Linked DNA regions of Schizosaccharomyces pombe. The protein of the gene in region 2 interacts with the protein of the main gene of each other region in a biochemical or structural test. Each region holds a gene or a part of one and is shown on either strand. Other genes may lie near its edges. The genes, in order: smc5 and nse2.

Region 1 (6,248 bases), 2.1 Mb from region 2:
GGAAGCTCTGCCTCTTCGACGGCAGATTCTGAATCCTCAGTTTCCCAATTACTGCTATCATCTTCTTCTTTACTCTGGAGCAAACTAAGAGAACTTGTTGAGCTCTCTACAGCACCAAGTTCATACTTGTTATGCAACGTTGAGTTCTCAGGAATACTTTCGTTCACGTCTATCTTCTTTAGTTGATTATTGATAATTATAGTGGATGAACTCAAATGTTCCATTCGCAGTGGAGAAGACGCGTATCCTGAATCTCCATGAGCACTTCGAATGCCTGATCTTTGCAAAGCGTCTTGACTGGAGCCTAAGCTGATCAATTCGTAATCTTCTTCCCACGAACTAACGTCGCTGGTTTTGTTAGAATCAGAGCGGGGAATTGGTATTCCTTTGCTTTCAGAAGACATTAATAAAGCTTCTCTAAAATCAATGTCTAATGAACAGAAATGGGTAAGCACAAGAATGATCCCAATTCTTTGTTGTTTACGTTAATATGGATTCCCGATAGCGCCACATCTACGGTGTTGCGCGATAATTGTATTACACAAAACTACGTTAAGGGCACATGTATCTTTTGAATAAGTTAAGCAATAAAGATATAACATTTTAAATGTCAGGATGCTGAAAGCAATAATTAAAGATAATGATATTATTAATTTATTAAATCTAACGGTCAAATTTTCGGTGACTCTAAGGAACGAAATGACTAACGGGTAACTTCGTATGCAAAATTTTAAAACTCATAAAATAAATTCTTTAGTAAACAAAACACCATCGGACAAAACAAATATCAAAAATTAAGAAAAAGTATGCCAACAAGACAAATATGGTAATGTAGCATTTATGACGAAGAAATGAGTGCGGACTTCTTTAACTTTTCAAAATAGGTAGAAAGGGATGTTCTAAAAGTTGCTGGTAACCAAGCACCATTACAAATACATAGCACTTTCAAATTTCGATGGTATGTCAAATCTGGTAATAACTTTGGAGTGACTAAGAAGTATTGTGAAACAGCGTTGTCACACACTGAATTGACGATATGCCTATGCACAACTCGTTCATTTCGAGGATCCATTCCTTGATTTATTTCATCAACTATTCGAAACGGAGCAATTGCCAAACCTTGTAAAGATAATAAATACATTATAGTAGATACAGAACGTTCTCCACCAGATTGTCGTTGACCCGTAAGTTTTTGAAGTCCTTCTTCCTCTCGAAATTGTACTAAAATATCGATATACCATTTATCATAATCGTCGGATTTCCCTAGTCGAACTTCTCCAGCATATCCCATTCCACTCATTCCTTTAGAAAATCTATCGCTAATACATTGAACATTCTCCTCTAACTTACTAACCCAATCCTCTTTGATTGAGTTCATCTCGTCTTGGAGCTCTTCAACGGATTGATCAAAGTCTGACATTTTCGATTCTAGTTCCTCAATTTCTTTTTTACGCGCATCATATTGTTCCATAACGTAACTATTAACATTCATAAACTTCAGTTTCGTTTCTTCGATGCTAATTTTGTTATCCACTTCCGAACTAGTAGCAAATTCTTCATTTAATTCAGTTATTGCCGTTTGTCTGTCAGATGATTGTGTCTGCAATGAATCAACCACTGAACCGTACAAGGACATAGCATCCTCCCTTGCTGAGGCTAACTTATCGGTAATATCTTTAAGACGATCTTGTACTTCTGTCAATCGAGCGTTGACTTGGTTGGCATCCATCTCGTGTTTTTCAAGTTTGTATTTCGCTTCTATGACATTAAGTCTACTTCCCAACATCTTCTCGAAATTATTCGTAGCTTTAATTGAATTCTCCTTAACTTTTAACACCGAATTCATAAGAGCTTCGAAGTTCTCTTTCCTGATATCTTCATTTTTTTCAATTTCAGCTGCAAATTGCTCAGGAACTTTCTCTCTTTGTCTTAGTAGAAGAGTTTGGTGTTCTATTCTTTCTTGTAATTGTTGCCATTCGTGAATAGGAATTAATTTTTCGTCACGCTCTTTTCGTAGAGTAGATAATATATCGTTTGTACGAGAAAGCAGCGATTCGTGCTCATTTACCTTTTCTTGTAACTTTCTTTCCTCATTCTGTAAATTTTCCAATTGAGAGAGTTGAGCATTTAGTTGCTCCTCCTTTCGCTTTACCAAATCCATCTCAACGTTCTCGGAAAAATATATACTGCGAGAAGGTAATGGGTCTGTTCGCCTAGTAATTTCTCTATCACCGTAAGCTGAACGAAAAACCAAGTGGATAGATGAGCCCGCCAAGTAAGTTTTAAGAACTGGATCCCCGTTAGCCAGACGAAAATTGTTTAACGCATTCACTGATGCGGGAGGTAGTTCCCTTTTTGCAATCGGAATTTGATGAATTTTTAACATATGGCACAAAGCAACCAAAACCACTTCTGGCCCCTCTAAAAAATCGATCACATATCCGTCAAACCCGAAAGACTGAAGCTTCTCACGAGAGCATGGAGGTTCAAAATCTTCTATCTTCTTTTTTCGTTCACTGGAGAATTCTCTTATAGTAGGAGTGTACTTAGTTTTTGAAGTGATAAGATCCATTAACTTTAGATAATCATTATAATTTGACATTATAAATGTTCGAAACGTATCCGTGCGAAAAAACCCTTCTATCAAAGCTGCAAACCCTTTTTCCTTACATTTCAAATTCATATAAATTGGGCCGTATGCGGGTGCTTCAAACGCAGATTCGTATTCCTTCAATAACTGATACGTCTGATAAGCATCTTCCCAGCCTGGAGCAGAAGACATAAAGTCTAGTTTCCTTTTCGTAGCATCGTTGTAGTAGGACAACTCTCTTTTAATGTTATCAAGGTCAATAAGCTTTTGTGCTTTCAATGTTCTGATACTACCTAGTTCATGAGAGCTCTCAAGTTTCTCGTTTTCATGTTGAAGTTTTTCCGCATTAACTTCTTGCATCTTTTCTTGTAGATCTTGAACACCGTTATCCGAAGGTCTTGGGCCTTGTCTTTCTGTTAATGACTTCACCGATTGTTGTGCTTCATTTAATGTAAGATTTGCATTCCGTAAAAGTGTTCGATTGGTATTAACCTTCTCATAAAGCTTTTTCTCGTTCTCCATGAAATTCGAAAAAGAAGCTCTGGCTCTTAAATTTGAGGTATTAAGTTCCATCGAAGCGGAGGAGTAATCGTTAAATGTATCATCTTTTAGTTTTAAATCCGAACGCAGCTCTTCACCTTTATCCAAAATAGGTTGAAATTCTTCCACTAGGTCTTTCAAATCCTTTTTTAATTTTTTTTTGTCTGCACGAAGTTGGTTAAAGACATTGGTTTTCTCTCTGTATATAACTAACATTTTAGCTAACCCTAGCATTTCGATGTATGATTTGATTTTTTCCCGTTCTTTAAATATATTGACTTCCTTCTCTAGTGCCTGTTGTCTATCTTTTAATGAATTTAATGTTGATTGTCCTTGGTTTTTATTTTGTAAAATTTCCCTTTCTCGTTTTCGTAAATCAATAAGCTTCTCATGTGCGGGAAGTAACCCTTCATGGTCAATTGCACGCTCAGTTTCCATCAGTCTAGAATAAGGATCAAGCTGAGCGAATTCTGCAACACGGTCTTGTGGTAAAAAATGACAAAGATTATTCAATTGTACATTGAAAGTATCCATTAGAGACGTTATTGAAGAAGTGGCACATGCTTCCCTATTAATAGAGAAAGAACTACTCTTATCCTGGCTTATTTGTCTCGTGATAGTAACCGTTTCATCGTCACGATACTTCATTTCAATTTCTATGGTTGCAGTGTTTTTGCCATACTTTATAAATTCACGGGCCTCTTTAGCTCTCCCAAGTAGCTAAATCGTTAATCAATTAAGTTATTTTTTATAATATTGAAAGACTTACTTTTGGGGGCCATCCCAGCCCAATGCATATTGCTGAAACAATTGTGCTCTTACCTGTCCCATTTGGACCGATAATCAAATTTAGATATGGACCAGGGAACAGTTCACAATAATCGTATGTAACAAAGTTCACTAATTTAATTCGTACAATACTTCCTAACGCGTAACTCTCGCGTGTTAAGATCATCGAAGTATAAAAAGCAGAAATACTAAATAGAAAAAAGCTATAACTTACTCTGAATACAAAGGATTACTTTTTCTTCGTTTCGAAGGCCTAAGGCCATCCATGGTGGAAGTAAGGAGGATTTCAGTCAACTAGGAGTTTGCTGAGAGCAAAGTGCTTATGCAAGGCAAGGTACAATGAGTTTAGAGGAAAAAAGAGCTCTCCAGAATCAAATTTTAGCTGAATATGCTAATCTTGCATCAAATTTAGAAACAGTAAGTCTTTTTTATTCAGCAGTTGGTTAATATTTAGCTTGTTAAGGTGTTACAGGACATGGTTTATAATCCCAGCAACAATATTCTGGACTCGCTAAGGGATTTAGAAAAGGAGGTTGGACTTGTATATACTCTTTACAAAGCTAGTGTTTGGGCGATTTTGGCAGACCTAGAAAATAACCAAGAAGGTAAAAGCGGCATGTTTCAAGATGAAAGTTGATAACGTGCTTGTTTGAAATTGAAAATACGTCAAACCGAACTATAAATTAAGCTTTAACTCTACTGTTGGTGCTTTTCGTGTGGTTTACTATGAATATTTGGAACTGAATATTTACCGGATAATTTTTCAATCACTTTTACAGAGAAAAAAATACATCCTACTTGGAAGAGTAAAAACAGGCACAAGATATAAGCTTATGAAGGTTTTTAAAAAGCACTTTTCGGCTAAAATGTCCAAGAAACGAATATGGGTATTGTTTTTAAAAAGTTGGTTAGATCACTTTTAATCAATTATCCAAAACAACCCTTTGGAAGTAGTCCGGCCTTAAATATTTCTAAACTATTACCCCGGAAACACTGACCTAATGAATCTTCCGATTAATTGCCTGTTAACATTTTATTAGATCATGCTGGATTCGAAAGTGTTTTCAAGCTTTCCTAAAAGCGTTATGAAAATGGGGTTGCATGAGAATCTGCAATGTTGTAAGCTGTTGATTTCTTAATCAAATAATAAGTTTCCTTCCTTGTTTTTTTCTAACCGTAATGGTTATTCATACTCAAATTTCTTCGTTATGAAGAGCAACTTACAATTGGGACTCGTTTTTGTCCTCGGATCATTAAAGTGAATACAGCGAGAAATTTTCTTCTGCTTGCATTTGACTAAAAATCATTTAAATGCCAGCAACTCTCTTCGAGATTGAAATCCAAAGTTTCTTCTGTTTGTACTAATATGGATTCTCATAATTTACTATATTTGATAAGCAATGAGGTTCATATTTTATTAATATACTTAATAGTGTCAAGCCCAATCCTTCAAAATATTGGCAAGTGTATGTTTTGGCATTACCAAATGACTTTGGTTTATAGTGGTATAACGTAATAATAATGGGTATTGTCTTTATACCGTTATAGACACTGCTTTTACGTTTTGATAGGCGCGTCTTACAAAGTATATATATATTTATTGCTTACGCGCATCACCGTTTTGCAAAGTGTATATAAAAAAAAGCAAGAACTATGGACTTTTTATCACATGCCATGCTTAGTCGATCTGAATCAACGCAAATTCTTTGTGAATTGAGTCAAATAGACGAAAGTACTATGGATCCTCAATATACTGAAGATGATGTTCTCGCTCGATTGTTTGTTTTTTCATCATCTTCTCCACAAACAGGTGTGTTCTCTTGTTTCAATTGATTTTTGACATATATTAGTACTGAATGTTAAGAAATATGAAGACGTTTCTGTTGGAAGGAGTAATACATGCAATTATCAGCTTCTGCAATTCACTGCCAGTTATAAGCACTTTAGAGTGTATTCGGTGCTAATCGATGATGATATGGATCCCCTTGTTTATTGTGAAGATCAGAGCTCTAATGGAACATTCTTAAATCATCGTTTAATTGGTAAAGGCAATAGCGTCCTTTTATCGGATGGAGATATACTCGATGTTCGGCACTGCGCTTCCTTTCTTTTCCAGCAGAAATACACTACTGATAATGATTTTCATCACGAGTATGCGGGTGAGAGATTTAACATCACTCAAAGACTATTGGGAATTGGTGGCTTCTCGCGCATTTACATGGCAATGGATAATAACACTGGGGGACAATACGCGTGTAAAATCATCGACAAGAAAAAAATCTCAACGAAACGGTTTTTCGAGGACCACGAGATGACAATTCTTAGGAAA
Region 2 (4,051 bases):
TAAAAGGATTCGTATAGTAGTAAAGAAAAAGTTTACTATGCAAATATTAACATCAACAGTTGTTCTGCCTCTCAGACGATGAACGGCTTATTTAAAAATTGGCAGCTTTTAGAAGAATATAGGAAGATTAAAAACTAATATATATATACAAACACATTATTAATGAAGTGACTTAAGGTTTGTGTATTGTAATATGTAAGTTAATTTAAAAGAATCCTGACCTTTGACCAATTTTTGAGGACGCTATTAAATTTATAGATTCATAAAAAACATATAATAACTAATAATTTAATTTAATATGCAAATTCTTTGAAACAAACTGCGTTAAGGCATATGTTTAGCGGCAATGAAAATACATTTAGAAAAGAACGACCATCAAGGTGCATCTAGCATTTCACGATCTTTCTTCTGTAACACTGAATTTTGAAACTCCTTCCAAAGAGACGCGACATTTTCAAATTCCTTTCCAACACCGTTAATGCTTTCAAGATTTTTATTTAGAGCTGACATAAGATTCACAACTTCATTCATACTTTTTGAAATTTGTAAGGTCAAAAGACGACGCCTTCTTTCAAAATCTATATCATCAAAATCTTTATTTTGCTCATTTTGTATGTTTTCAGTAATATCCATATTTTCTGAGGACATGGTATGTTAATGGCTAGTGTCAAAGTCAAGCATGAGCCAAAGTTTATCATAAGGTTACAATCAAGTAGATCTTATATTAGATTTAACTATCTTCATAATTAAATGCCAAAATTGAAGCTTCCGTACGAGCATAGAATATTAGTCAAAAGAGACATGTTATGCATATTTACAAGTTGGAATAAACAAATACATTAAATATAATAATAATAATAATAATAATAAATCCGGATCAGTACTACAATGTAAATAGAAAAGGACTAAGCTTCTTTTAAATTACTTATTTCCTGAGCGCGGCGTAATCTGCGTTCAAGAATCTCATCTTCCTTAAGTAAAGACCTTTGTAAACGAGCTTCACATCCTACAACAGGGCATACACAAGTTGGATTTAACAGAGACAAAATAGCATCTTTTTCATAAAAATGATTACAGGCTGTCGATAATATTGGGTGAACAATTGGTTGTAAAGTTAAAGGGCATCTGTTATCAAAGGTAGCTGAATATACCATCACTTCATCTGCTTCCTGTTCTTCAGTGTTCATGACATTAAAAAATGTTTTCATAGAAGGAAAGTCAGAACCGTCTGTATTTTGCTCATGCCATATGGTTTTTTTAAATTCAATGTATTCTCCTTGTGTGCCATATTTACCATAGTCGGATTTTTCTTCGTATTCTTGAATGAGTTCCTTAAAAATTTGTGTATAAATATCCAACAAACTTTTATTCTAATTTTGTTAGAACAATTGAATATGAAACAGTAAAAAAATACGTCTAAATTGATGTTTTTACTTCATCTACATATAATAGAAAAAGTAGGAAAGTCATTTCCGTGGTACGTACTTCAAAATCACTTATATTTTCACTGGTTTTGTTAGCCAATGTATCCACCGATTGCTGCATCAATAACAATCTCTGCTTTGCATCCAACAGCTCTCGGATCCCGCTATCAAGCATGTCCAAACACTAAAAGGCAAGTGTTAGTCAGAAGTCATAAAGTAAGCAGCATGTCATATTATGTCTATTTTAGGCTCTCTCTCAATAGCCGGAAATAAGAGGAAGAAAAATATTAGTTAAACAATGTTTTTGTATGTATATTTGTACAGCGAACTTCTTTTTAAAAAACTGTATCTCGACATAACACCACTTTCGAGTTTTAAAAGCAATTCATATTAATTTTTTCCATTATCTTTCGTAATAATGGTACACATACCTCATTATTTTTTATCTCAGCAGCAACTAGAGCACATTTTATCACCTGTTTAATTGAATCGTCAATTTCCTTCAATTGGAAGTCGAAACTGCAATGATTTTGGTTTCCAGGTAATAAATTTTGACTTAAAGCCTCCAAGGAAGTTTTTAATTGTGCTTCACTCATTTACGATTCCATTCGAGAAAGAAGTAGTTACGACGTTTAATTAGTAGACAACGCAATTTGGGATTGAAAACCTATTAATTGCATATGAAAACTAAATGCCACAACACTTATTTCCTTAAATAAAAAAAGAATGTTTTTTAAGCAAGGGTAATAACCACGTTTTAAAATTTAAACTCCAGTACGTTTTTATGAAGATTGATGGCATATGTATAAAGACTAAATAAATTCTTATTTACTGTCACGTTTAATACAAATGAATGGGTTATGAAATATTCTCATTTGGAATTAGAATTTATAATGCATACTTCGGACAATTAACGCTTGACTTTTAGTACCTCTATTACTAAACCAACTATTCAATATGATAAACCAATAAAGGATGATTAAGGCCGTGAAATGTATAAATTAAATTATGTTATTTTCAAAATATTCCATAGATTAGTAGTAAAGTAAAACACGATTAACAAAACTATCCGAGTCTTGTCAATATTATTCATTAAAAAAGCAATCATGAACAAACTCTATCCGGAGACGAAAAATTAAGATTGATAATTAACAAGCTCTTCCCGTAAAAGTGGCGGAGTTGCCTCTATGTAAGGTATTTTATGAAGTTCACAATAGGCCTGGCCCACAGTAACATTTTTCCAATTTAATGACTTTGAATATAATTCTTGAAGACGATTCTGCTTCATAAACCTTGCTTTGATAAGTCTGGCCTTGTCTTTTATCTGTGTTGGTCCAAAAGTTTTTAACGGACCATTTTCAAGTTTCTGTATGTGAATGATTTTAGACCAACAACAGCCATGCTGAGAAATCATTTCGTAAAGCTCATTCTCCTCTTCATCTGTCCATTTTCTACGAGTTCGATATCCTTCATATGGGTTTCCTTGCGACCTGCGTGTACCCGAACGAGCAGCAGATCTTTCAATGGACACTCTCATTGCCGAACTTCTACCACCAGATCGAGATTCTTGCTCGTCTGATTCACGTACAGGCGGAAAATCTTCACTTAAATCATCCTGTTCACTACTCAAAGAAGCTTCTCTTCTCAGATTATCACCCCTCTTCGCAATCAGCTTACTGCGGTTTGCAGCTTCCTTTTGAGAAAGGGACTTAGCTCTGCTTTTTAGAGACTTTGATAGGGTATGGGAGAAATCTCTGGCTTGAGAAACCGTTTCTGATAAATTATCAGCACTCAATAAGCCAGTGATTTTATCAAGAGCAGATGAAACTAAACCTAAGGATACCACTTCTGATATTTCCGTATTATCTATTGAGTTCAAACCTAGGGTTCTTTCAGAAAAAGTATCCTCGGACGCGTCACTCTCATGACCACTGGCTTCGTCTGCTGACTGTGCGGTCGAACCAGAAACTCGCTCACGAAGCCTGTTTAAGATCTGTTGGCTATCAGAGTCGTACAGCATCCCTTTCACGCTAAGGTCCTTTCTTTCTAAGCGACGGACGTTTTTAAATTCTAGTAAAAAATGTATGACTGCATTGACAAACGCTGGAAACGAGGCCCGTAGCTGTAGAGGAGAATTAGAAGTATTACCAATCGTAGATTTTAGAAAGTCACAAATCTTTTGGCTTTTCCATACTTGCCCACAAACTACGTTTAAGGCATCTAAAGATGTATAAGGAAGACATGACAAAATAAATTCACTTGCGTCAATAGAAGGATTTGAATCGGTACCAAAGTATCTAATCACCAATTCCTCAAATAGAACCAAGGCATCTCCATAAAAAGAGTCTTCTTCATCAGCAGATAAAAGTGCGTCTAGTACTATAGATCTCAAAGTAAGGTGTTTGTTGGTATTATCTAGGAGATCAATCAAGCCTGTAAAAAATTGAATAGATTTTAAAGGTTTTTCCAAGTCTTCAAATAAACACCAATAAGCATCATATTTTCGTATATAGGAGAAAAATATAGTGCGAAACTCCAGTCCATATTTGGTAGTGAGTTGTTCGTTAAATTCATAAAGATCTTTTACAGTTTCCTTCCCTAGACGTTCTGAGAAGCTCTCAGGGTTA

Evidence for each region.
Region 1: the proteins of nse2 (region 2) and smc5 form a complex in vitro, tested with the Schizosaccharomyces pombe proteins (2 studies listed by BioGRID).

What each region holds. Positions count from the first base shown.
Region 1 is NC_003424.3:5,225,568-5,231,815, forward strand, and holds smc5 (Smc5-6 complex SMC P-loop ATPase subunit Smc5), read right to left. Parts: upstream 4,227-6,248; 5' UTR 4,187-4,226; coding exon 4,134-4,186; intron 4,066-4,133; coding exon 3,900-4,065; intron 3,851-3,899; coding exon 839-3,850; 3' UTR 612-838; downstream 1-611. Other genes in the region: mitophagy receptor Atg43, read right to left, coding at 1-404; DASH complex subunit Dad3, read left to right, coding at 4,259-4,336, 4,374-4,556; mek1 (meiosis-specific serine/threonine protein kinase), read left to right, coding at 5,573-5,729, 5,770-6,248. UniProt on the Schizosaccharomyces pombe protein: Acts in a DNA repair pathway for removal of UV-induced DNA damage that is distinct from classical nucleotide excision repair and in repair of ionizing radiation damage.
Region 2 is NC_003424.3:3,088,678-3,092,728, forward strand, and holds nse2 (Smc5-6 complex non-SMC SUMO ligase subunit Nse2), read right to left. Parts: upstream 2,052-4,051; 5' UTR 2,021-2,051; coding exon 1,856-2,020; exon of another isoform or gene 1,609-1,855; coding exon 1,486-1,608; exon of another isoform or gene 1,371-1,485; coding exon 906-1,370; 3' UTR 817-905; downstream 1-816. Other genes in the region: DASH complex subunit Dad1, read right to left, coding at 376-648; taz1 (telomere length regulator), read right to left, coding at 2,560-4,051.